Callithrix jacchus: one gene and its partners. The protein of the gene in region 2 interacts with the protein of the main gene of each other region in a pairwise test. Links are inferred from orthologs where the notes say so. Each region holds a gene or a part of one and is shown on either strand. Other genes may lie near its edges. The genes, in order: HSF2BP, CDC73 and TSGA10.

What was found.
Region 1: the proteins of CDC73 (region 2) and HSF2BP interact in binary tests that used the Homo sapiens proteins (3 or more experiments, as listed by UniProt). The link is inferred for Callithrix jacchus from reciprocal best matches to the Homo sapiens genes CDC73 and HSF2BP.
Region 3: the proteins of CDC73 (region 2) and TSGA10 interact in binary tests that used the Homo sapiens proteins (3 or more experiments, as listed by UniProt). The two-hybrid records come from large-scale screens. The link is inferred for Callithrix jacchus from reciprocal best matches to the Homo sapiens genes CDC73 and TSGA10.

The regions. Positions count from the first base shown.
Region 1 is NC_133522.1:49,329,321-49,333,068, reverse strand, and holds the start of HSF2BP (heat shock factor 2-binding protein), read left to right. Parts: upstream 1-1,485; 5' UTR 1,486-1,647; intron 1,648-3,228; 5' UTR 3,229-3,449; coding exon 3,450-3,476; exon of another isoform or gene 3,477-3,667; intron 3,668-3,748. Other genes in the region: RRP1B (ribosomal RNA processing protein 1 homolog B), read right to left, coding at 1,193-1,322. UniProt on the Homo sapiens protein: Meiotic recombination factor component of recombination bridges involved in meiotic double-strand break repair.
Region 2 is NC_133519.1:50,414,499-50,418,146, forward strand, and holds part of CDC73 (parafibromin), read left to right. Parts: exon of another isoform or gene 1-690; coding exon 691-791; intron 792-3,648.
Region 3 is NC_133515.1:8,703,559-8,707,306, reverse strand, and holds the start of TSGA10 (testis-specific gene 10 protein), read left to right. Parts: upstream 1-1,192; 5' UTR 1,193-1,202; coding exon 1,203-1,259; exon of another isoform or gene 1,260-1,311; intron 1,312-3,748. UniProt on the Homo sapiens protein: Plays a role in spermatogenesis. When overexpressed, prevents nuclear localization of HIF1A.

The DNA of each region.
Region 1 (3,748 bases), on a different chromosome or scaffold from region 2:
GGCTCACTCAAGAGTTTACAAAAAATATTTTTGGATCAGGTAAGTGAAATCCTTCAACAGCAGTGCTGTGTGATCTGGCCACTGCCTACATCTCCAGCTTCATCTCATAACACTTTCCCCCTCCCCAGCTTACTGGTCTTTCAACCACTCCTAGGGGAGGGCATTCACTCCTTCCTGTCACGGCATAGGTGGTTTCCGCCCATCTCTCTTCAGATCCCAGCTGAACATCACCCAGTGAGGCCTTCTCAGAACAGCCTCTCACGAAGAGCAACCTCCTTCACTTTTTTTTCTATTACCTGTTTTTCTTTCTTTCTTCTCTCTTCTTCTTCTTTTTGTTTTTAGAAGACAAATTCTTGCTCTATCGTCCAGGCTGCAGAGCAATGGTGCAATCTCGGCTCACTGCAACCTTGCCCTCTCGGGTTTAAGCAAGTCTACCTCCCCAGCCTCCCGAGAAGCTGGGGCTACAGGCCCGCGCCACTGCGCCTGGCTAATTTTTGTATTTTTGGTAGAGACAGGGTTTCACCAAGTTGGCCAAGCTGGTCTCGAACCCCTGACCTCAGGTGATCCGCCCGCCTTGGCCTCCCAAAGTGCTGGGATTACAGGTATGATCCGCCATGCCCGGCGTACTACCTGGCTTTCATTCCCTTCACTACACTTACACGAGGTCTACTTTATTTGCCTGATTGTCTCCTTGCTTTATCACCAACAGATCCTCCAGAGAAGGGATTTTGTCTTCTCGCCTGCAGCCCCCGCACGTAAAGGTGCTGGTCAAAGAAAGGCGGGAATCACCGGCGGGACAGCAGGGCAGCGCAGTGATGCCAGATGCCGGTAAGCTGGGGAGGGGGAGAGTGTTATGAGATGAAGCTGGAGATGTAGGCAGTGGCCAGATCACACAGCACTGCCGTTGAGCTGCATCAGGGCAGCCCAGTGATGCGAGATGCGGGTCAGGGAATCCGCCCCATGTGGGTCTTTTCTCAGCTTCCCCGCTCACCGTGACTTTCGCAAGTAACAGAACCCCCTCAACCTGTTTCCTCAACTGTAAAAAGGCACTAGACAGCAAGAAGCAGTTCTGGCAGCGCGGAAACCGGAGGACACTCTCGGTGTCACGACAACGCATGGAAGCCGCGTTCCGCGCCGCCGCCCCTGCCCCGGGCCCGCCATGTGGCGCGGCTGACCGCCGCCGTGCGCCCACCTGTCTCCCTCTGCGTCTTCACGCTGATGTACTGGCGCAGCTTCTTCACCGCCCGGTCCCGGATGCCCTTCTCGCTGGACGCCAGCCGCTGGGCAAACTGGATCTCGGCCGGCTGCATGGCGGGGGCCATCGCGCCCGCTGGGGCATCCCCGGCCGCGCAACCCACAGTGCCGCTGCCGCCAACCGTGCACCGCTGAGCCGTCGCCGTCCGCACGAGCCGCGACTGCGCAGTAGGCGGCGGTGACGCGCGGGCTGATGGCGTCACAAAGGCGCCGGCGCTCGTGGTGCGTTCTGGGAGTGAGCGCGGCCCTGGCCCTGGCGGCCGTCGTGGCGGTCTGTCCCGCGTGTGCTTGGCTCCGTCGCTGCCTTTCGATTGCCAGAATTGAGGCTGTAGACGGCGAAGTTAGCCAGGGTTAGGACTTGGCCGGGAGGAGACGGACGGATGTTGGCAAACGGTCTAGGAATTTTTATTTGTTTGACACAAGGTCTTGCTATGTCGCCCATGCTGGAGTGCAGTGGCGCGATCTCGGCTCACTGCAGCCTCGACCTCCCAGACTCAAGCGATCCTCCCACGTCGACCGCCGGAGTAGCTGAGACTACAGGCGCGCGCCATCACGCCCCGCTAATTATTATCATCTTTTATAGAGACGGGGTCTCGTTGTGTTGCCCAGGCTGCTCTCAAACTCCTAGCCTCAAGCGATCCTCCCGCCTCGGCCTCTCTGAGCGCTGGGAGTACAGGCTGCAGCCACCGCGCCTGGCCACGGTCCAGGATCTTTTTTTTTTCTTTTTGAGACGGAGTTTGGCTCTTGTTACCCAGGCTGGAGTGCAATGGCGCGATCTCGGCTCACCGCAACCTCCGCCTCCTGGGTTCAGGCAATTCTCCTGCCTCAGCCTCCTGAGCAGCTGGGATTACAGGCATGCCCAGCTAATTTTTTGTATTTTTGGTAGAGACGGGGTTTCACCATGTTGACCAGGATGGTCTCGCTCTCTTGAGCTCGTGATCCACCCGCCTCGGCCTCCCAAAGTGCTGGGATTACAGGCGTGAGCCACCGCGCCCGGCCCGGTCCAGGATCTTTAGTCCCCTTTAGCACACCCCGTTGGGCCGGCAGCTCTCCTACGAAGTTTTTAATTGTGGAGCCTCCGGGTCCCCCCGGGTGGAGTCGAGAGTGGAAGGAAAGGCCGGCACTGGGGCCTGCTGAGCGGGTGGAGAGCGTTCCTTTCGCCAGCGCCAGCGGAGCCTCGGGCAGCTCGGCACGCCCCTACCCCGGAGCCCTGGTGCCAGTGCAGGGGCGCCCGCGCCGGCGTCCCGAGGCCTGGAGAGCACGCGCGCTTCCCGGGGGAGCTGGGCAGGGCGGGCTGCTTGGGAGGGAAGAAATCAGCTTTGGGTTCATGTATAACCCGAGGCCATCCTATAGCTTGCGGACTCGGCAGGCGTTAATGGCCTAGATGACTCCAAACGTAGTGTGTGGGGGGTTATGTACGTTAACCCCATTCAGTTATCTGGGCGACCTCCCGAGATGCCTGTGGCCAAATTCAACCCTTAATATGAAAGCGCCTGAATCCCAGCGAGGGAAGGCGGGCCGCGGAGGCGAGTTTCCAGCCAAGATTGCCCGTTTCAACGCAGTCCCCCTTAGGGCAGCACTCCCCGCCAAGCAGAAAGGACCCCTCCGATTTTTTTTCTTTTTTTTTTTTTTTTTTTGAGACGGAGTTTCGCTCTTGTTACCCAGGCTGGAGTGCAATGGCGCGATCTCGGCTCACCGCAACCTCTGCCTCCTGGGTTCAAGCCATTCTCCTGCCTCAGCCTCCCGAGTAGCTGGGATTACAGGCACGTGCCACCGTGCCCAGCTAATTTTTGTATTTTTAGTAGAGACGGGGTTTCACCGTGTTGACCTGGATGGTCTCGATCTCTTGACCTCGTGATCCACCCGCCTCGGCCTCCCAAAGTGCTGGGATTACAGGCGTGAGCCGCCGCGCCCGGCCCCGATTTCTTTCACATGACGCTTACAGCAGGGGCTGACTTTCCTTCTGCTTCGTAGATAACAAGTTTAAAATCCGGGCTCAGCCGGAAGAGCCAAAGCGCGTCCTCATCACGGCCGCTCCTCGCCCCCCAGGCGGAGAATGCCGCTCAGGTTCTGCGAGGTTTGAGCCTCGTGGCTCTCCGTTCCCGACCCCCGTGGACGCGTTCCCGCGCTTTCTGGCGTGAGGGGTCAGAGGTCGCCGCCTTCACGCAAGGAACGTAGCGCAGGGGGCGGCGGCCATGGACGAAGCGAGCGGCGCTCAGGAGGTCAGTTGGGTCGGGGAGGAGGCCCCGGCCACTGGCACCCGCGGAGCCTCGCCCGCTGCGCTCGCGGTCGGCCCGCTGTCCCGTGCTTGGGGAGGCCTGGAGACCGGGCCCCGGACAGCGTGGGCTGCGGCGGAACGGGGTGGAGGCCTGGGCGCGAGGCGACTTCGCCTGCAAAGCCACGCGGGGGCCGGGTCTGTTTGGCCGCGCGCGGTGGGGCCTGAGTGGCGCCAGCGCGGGCGTGGGAGCGTGGGATGGATGGTCCCTGCGCTCGC
Region 2 (3,648 bases):
TTTTGATTAATAGTTATCAACCAGGCCACGCGTGGTGGCTCACGCCTGTAATCCCAGCACTTTGGGAGGCCGAGGCAGGTGGATCACGAGGTCGAGATATCGGGACCAACCTGGTCAACATGCTGAAAGCCCGTCTCTACTAAAAATACAAAAATTTAGCTGGGCATGGTCGCGCGTGCCTGTAATAATCCCAGCTACTCAGGAGGCTGAGGCAGGAGAATTGCCTGAACCCAGGAGGCGGAGGTTGTGGTGAGCCGAGATCGCGCCATTGCACTCCAGCCTGGGCAACAAGAGCGAAACTCCGTCTCAAAACAAACAAAAAAAAAAAATAGTTTTCAACCACTATTCCCTATTGTGTTGGAATAGTGGGCCCCTGCTGTAATTAACAGAAGGGAACAGAAAAGGCAAACAGGATTACATACAAGTATTATCCATGCCATTACGTTTAAAAAACTTAGATGTAAAAACCAGATGCATGGGAAGTATAACAATGATTAATACACTCTAATGACAATATCATATTGAAAAGTTGGTAAGTACTTACTGTATTTGCCTCATAGAAGGATTGATAAGACTGTCACATGAACGATTACAGGACTGTTGTCTAAGGGATTTATAGTAACTAAAGCTCAAGTTTGAGATAATCTCCCTCTGTCCTCTACCTCCCCACACCCCCTTTTCTACTTGTAGGGACCGCGTTGTAGCCGTTTTTGTGCAAGGTCCTGCATGGCAGTTCAAAGGCTGGCCATGGCTTTTGCCTGATGGATCACCAGTTGATATATTTGCTAAAAGTAAGATTCTCTTTGTTGCTGAATGTTCTCACCTTGTTTAGAGAGTCACATGGTTCTGCACATGCGACGTGTATCTGAAAGGATTGCTGTTAAGTAGAATATACTGTGTGAGTATTTAAGCACCGGTGACGTGTTTTTAAAAGTTTGATACATTAGTACTTTCTGGATAGGTATATCTGAAAGTGAGTATTGCCTGTCCACAACATCAATAATTATTTTTAGATCACTTAAAAATCATCCATACTGTTGCATGCCCATACATTTTGATTAAAATTAATGCCAGTTTTAAATGGGTTGGCTTTTGATGAACAGAAATGTGTAAATTAAAATGCCATAATGACGTTTACCAGCTCTTCCTTTCATCTGAAATGATTGTAAGTTGACTTTTTCTCTTCATTCAGAGCTCTGCTGAAGTGTTTTCTCTTTGGTGAATCTGTCTCTGACTTTCTTCTTTCAAATAACTATCACCATCTCCCATTTGCTCTTTAAGCTTTTTTATTTTCTTGATAGCATTTACCATTCCTAGGCGTTTTCTAATTGTTATATTTTTATTCTAAGTGTTCCCTAGCTGGAATGCAAGTTTCATGATGGGAGAGTCCTCCTGTGCCTTATTTACCTTGAGTCCTCAGTACAGAAGAGTGCCTGGCACAGAGAGGCTTTCAGTAAATATCTGCTGAATGAAGCATTTCATGCGTGTTTAATGTTTATTAAACATATGAGCATAAATTGATATAACAAAAGATTAATTTCACCTGTTTATTTGCTGGAAGGGGTATTCCAACAATTCTTTAATTAATTACAGTATTCAATTAAATTAGTAACATAAGTAAAATTTATTTTAAAATGTCATTTTCATGAAAAAAGTATATTTATTAGAAGTGACAACTTTAGGCTGGGCGCCATGGCTCATGCCTGTAATCCCAGCACTTTGGGAGGCCAAGGTGGGCGGATCATGAGGTTAAGAGATCGAGACCAGGATGGCCAACATGGTGAAACCCCGTTGCTACTAAAAATACAAAAATTAGGTGGATATGGTGACTCGCGCCTGTGGTCCCAGCTACTCAGGAGGCTGAGGTGCTTGAACCTAGGAGGTGGAGGTTGCAGTGAGCTGAGATTGCACCACTGCACTCCAGCCTGGCGATAGAGCAAGACTCTGTCTCAAAAAAAAAAGTGACCTTAGTTATTATGAATGTTGATTGTACTACGAACAATCCTGTGAAATGCCCTTTGTTTTTAGCAGCCCCAGTTTTTGTTAGTGGTACCATCATTTTTCCATAGAAAGTACCCAAGCTTGAAAGTTGTAGTGTTCTTCTATTACCTTCATTCATTTAAAAAAAAAAAAAAGAATTCTATTATTACATTATGATAGCTTTTTATGTTATTTTTGAAACTTGAGTAAGGCACGGAGTTGGTAAATAGAAAGTTAAATAAAAAGAATGGGAATTTGAATCAAAGTAAAATGTCAGTGTGTATTGTTTTACCTACTTGCTTGCCTTGTTGAATAATAATATTTCAGCAAAATGATTAGAGTGTCTTCAAGATATAAATGTATGAAATTCATTAAGAATATAAAAATGTTTTTTATTATTTTGTTCAAATTGTTAGTCTTTTGAAATTTAGATAAGAATTTAGAGAATTTTCTTTTAACGGTCATCATTGATTTACTTTAATTAGTTATTCTTTCTCTTTCACCTATTCCTTCTACACTGACTCCTCTCTCAGCATTTAAGAATACTCTTTCCCCTTCCATCTTAAACAACAAAACAAAACCCTTACCCTTAACCTCATCCTTTCCCCTTGCTGCTTCTTTTTCCTTTTATAGCTTCACTTTAGAAAGAATTGTTTCTACCAACTCATTTTCTGTTCAAATCCCCTGTAGTCTGGCTCTTGCTCTGTACTAAAACTATTTTCACTAAAGTTTCCAGTGACTCAGGGTTCAGTGAATATTTTGAGCTACTGTTGAGACCTACTGCTCAGAAAGATTCCTTTCAAGATATTATTGCTGATTGATGATGTACCTACTCACAAAAGAGTTCTGATGAAGGTGTTCAAGGAGATGAATTTTGTTTTGATGACTACTAACACAGCATCTATTATTTAGCCCATAGATCAAGGAGTAATTTAGACTTTTCAAGGTTTTTTTTTTTTAAGAAATAAGATTTGAAAGGCTGTAGCTGCTATAAATTGATTCCTCTGATGGATCAGGGAAAAGTAAATTGAAACTTTCCTAGATTTACCATTCTAGATGCTATTAAGAGCATTTGTGATTAATAGGAGAAGGTCAAAATATCACCATTACCAGAAGTTTAGGAGAAGTTGATTGCTACCTTCATGGTTCATGGATGACTTTGAGGGGTTCAAGACTTCAGTAGAGGAAATAACCGAAGATAGGTTGTGGAAATAGCAAGGGAACTAGCAATAGAAGTGGAGCTTGAAGATGTGACTGAATTGCTGCACTCTCATGCTGGAACTTGAATGGATGAGGGAGGAGTTCTTTCTTACAGATGAGCAAAGAAAGTGATTTTTTGAGATAGAATTCACTCCAGTGAGCACTTTGGTGAAGATGCTGTAAACATTGTTGAAATGACAACAGAGGATTTAGAACATGACATAAATATAGTAAAGCAGCAGGGTTTGAGAAGATTGAGTCCAGTTTTAAGGAAGTTCTTCTTTAAGTAAAATGCGGTCAAATATTATCACATACTGCAGAGAAATCTTTTGTGAAAGGTAAATTCAGTAAGTGCCAGAAACTTTATTATTATCTTATTTTCAGAAATTGCTCAGCCACCCTAACATTCATCAAAGACCACACCCTATTAGTCAGCAGCCATCAACATTGAGGCATAATCCTACACCA
Region 3 (3,748 bases), on a different chromosome or scaffold from region 2:
AGGGTTAGTCTCCTCAAATGAGAGCTTACTTTTGAAATACACAGCGTTCTACCATATCAAGGTCATCAGAGAATTGCTGTAAAAACCCAGTATCTACGTCATCTGTAGGAAAAGGTGATAAAGTCACCATTATCATCCAAAAACTCTTGGGTTATTTAAGAAGGGATATGGTAGATATTAAGAAGACTTTTTCCATGCTGGGCTCCAAAAAAATGGTAGAATGCAGCCCTCATTCTTTTTCACCAAAAAGCTCATTTGTCCACTTTAAGGTAAGGGAATTTGGAAAAGGACTGGCATGTGGAAAAGGAATATCGGTCAGGAATCTGGACTTTCTTTGCTAGTTCTGCCACTTTCTGATTCAGCCCAGATCGAGCAGAGCTGACTGAGACGGTGGTCCCCAGGCTCCCCTAATTGCAGTCTGCCCGTGCTCACCCGGACAGGTTGGCTTGCTACCAGCAGGCTGCAGCGGGAGGACTGGACCTGGAAGGCTCCCTCAAAATGGGCCCTGGCTGCAACTCTGGGAGTAACCGGTTCACTGAACGTGAGTCCAGAATGACGTCCAAGCCCTGAGAAAAGTGGCACAAAGCCACCGCCGCGAAGGTGTTCCAAGCTGCAGGTAGGAGGCGCGGCGACAGACAGCCTTGCGCATGCGCGTTTTATACACGTGCGGCCGCCACGAGCAGGAAATAAAAAATGAATCTTGGAAAAGGGGGCTCGCGGCTGGTTACTAGGAGACGGAACGCTCGGGTCGGGCGTCTAGGCGCTGCGTGGGCGTGCGCCTGCGCGGCGCGAACAGGCCAAGAAGAAGCCCCTCCAAGGCGCCTTGTAAGGCAGGCAGGTGGAAGTACGCGTCGCTCTGTGCGTAGGTGCGCGCACACGGCTTGTAGCCAGCGCGAGAGGGAAGGTCGAGCCAGGTACGCGTGCGCACGGAGCCTAGGGGCGCGTGGGACGGAAGCAAAGCTGGGGCGCCGGGGAGGTAGAAGACGAGCCCCACTCGGTACAGATCGTGAGGGCGGGGCCACGGCGGCGCCGGATGGCGCTAACCGCCCCCGCCTCCTTCGCGCAGGCTCCCTCTTTCCTCCGACTCCGCTGGGGCGGGGCCAGGACGATTTGGGGGTGGGAAGGGAGGAAAAAGGGGCGGAGGATGGAGATGGGGCGGTTCTCGTATCCCCGGCGGAGGCCGAGAGGTGGCAGTCGCGGGGATGAGCTCTGGGGAGGACATCGGGCCAAGGAGCTCGGGGAGGGACCCGGAGCTCCAGGTAGAAGCTGCGGAGATACGCAGGGTGGGGAGAGCTGCTCCTGCTCCGGAAGGTCTCCGAAAAGCCAGCTGCAAGCGGGCGGGAGTGGCGGGTGGTGGGCCGTGGCGGGAGGAGGTGGGCAGGAGCCGGGGGAGCCGCTGTGAGGGGCGGCAGCGGGCACTGCTGCGGGCCGGAAGCTCAGCAGCACGCGTTGTCCCTGTTTCTTGGGAAGTTAGGCTGAAGCCCAGTTCCTATGGTCACCGCTTTGCGTCCTGCCGCAGCTTTCCGCTTGATTGTTGGGGGTACTGTTTTATTTAGAAACGCTCTGGTGGAGCGAGGAATTTGGAAGTCATAGATTTGGGAGTCAAACCTGACTCCCAATCGCTCACTTCTGAGCCTATTTCTAGACTTGGGGTGGTAAAAGACCGAGATTACGTAGGCATTTGCATGGAAATCTCAGATAAATTTCAGCAAGAGTTGTACACAGTAAAGGCAGGGAAAGCTGGCTTTTGTTGAAAACATATTTGAGACTTAAATTGAATAACTAGATGATCATGGACTTGATACCTAAAAACTCACAGAAATAAGTACATTTTTTCACATTTTTTTCCCGAGGCTTCAGGAAAGTTTGCATAGATGACAGTGTCCCAGCGTTTTCCTTCTTCCATTCCAGTCCCTTTTATCCTAGGAAATTTCCTTGTTTAAAATGTTCTCTACTGGTTTTCAGCATTTCAAATATGCTTTGTTTACGTGTGAGGACATAAATAGAATAACAATCGGTTTGTAAGTAGGAAAAAAACAGGTTAGCTATAAATATGTAAGTAGAATGCCTCTTTCGAATCTGCCTCCAGGATAAAACAAATTCTTGTTTGTATTTTAATTGATTAATTAGCCAAACTCTTCAGTCTTAATTAGTGATAACTAGGAAGGTATATTAATGAAATATTAATTTTAAATAATAAACTTCGGCATTATTTAATGGCAGCTTCCAAAATATTTCACGCATTGTTTACCTTCTGAAGAAAAATCACTGCTTGTAGCCCAGAATATAATCAGGTGTAGAGATTCACTGGGGGCTCTTTTCTGTCTTCTTTTTCAGTTGCTTAGACTAGTTTGTTTAGGACAATTTGGTTTTGAAGTCCTCCGTACACCGAGGCAGTTAGAGGTATTACTGTATATCACCTTTTCAGATTACATGTTCCTTTCTCTCCCCAGAGATAGCCACTTCCTTGATTTTCCTTAATGTTTCACATCATTGTATGTGAACATGCACATTATAGTTTGGCTTGTTTTTGAACTTCCTCTAAATAGAATTTGTACTAAGTATTCATTTACATCTTGCTTCTTTACTCAACATTTTGTTAAGGTTAATCTTTATTGCTGCTTGCAGTATTTAGTTTGCTGATTGTTTCCCAAAATATCTCACTCTGTTGCCCAGGCTGGAGTGCAGTGGTGCGATTATGATTCACTGCAACCTTGATCTCCTGGGCTCAAGTTATTCTCCTACCTCAGCCTCCCAAGTAGCTGGGACCACAGGCGGGTGCCACCAGGCCTGGCTAATTTCATTTTCATTTTTTGTGGAGACAGGGACTCACTATGTTGTCCAGGCTGGTCTCAAATTCCTGGGCTCAAGTGATTCTCTGGCCTTGGCCTCCCAAGGTGCTGAGATTATTGAGATTACGAGTGTCTAAATCTTCATGTATCCTTGCTTTTTCTTGTCTCAGGGCAATACATCTTTAATTCTGAAAGAGGATCCTTATGTAAAGAGATTTAAGGAGCAAGTTTTTCTCCTTTTGTAATGACCTTTCCGTAACCTTGGTCGTCTTCCACCTTTTGCTATACCTGTCTTCCTCTCACAATCATGCTTCCTAAAAGAAGTTTACATTTATTAATAAATTAGTCCTCTTCAGACTTGTTTTCACCCATCATTGAAACTGCTTTGTTTGAATCATTAAAATTTATTTTGGAAATGTTTTACTGAGTTTCAACTTTGTGCTGGGCACTTTTAAAGCAATAGGGATATAACAAAAGACAAAAAGCCTAGGGCTCTTGAATTTTATATGCCAGTAGGGGGAGCCAGACAGTAAACAAGTGAGCAAATAAATGATATCATTTCAAGAAGTGATAAGTGCAAATAGCTTATCACTTATTTGAGAGAGTGACTGGGATAGAGGCTACTTTAGGTAAGAAGTCAGGGAAGACCTGACATTTCAGCCAAAGAGTTGAAGATAGCCATGTGAAGGGCTGGGTAAAAAGGGTTCCTGAGAGAGGGAAAGCAAGAGCAGGGGACTTGAAGTCGAATGCTATTGGCACATATCTTAGTCCATTCAGGGTGCTATAGTGAAATATATAAGCAACATTAATTTAATTCTTATAGTTCTGAAGACTAGGAATTCTAAAGTAAGTTGCCAGTAGAATCAGTGTCTGGTGAGGGCCTGTGTTTTTGTTCATAGATGATACTTTCAGACTGTGTCCTCATACATTAGAAGGGGTGAGGAAGCTTTCTGGGT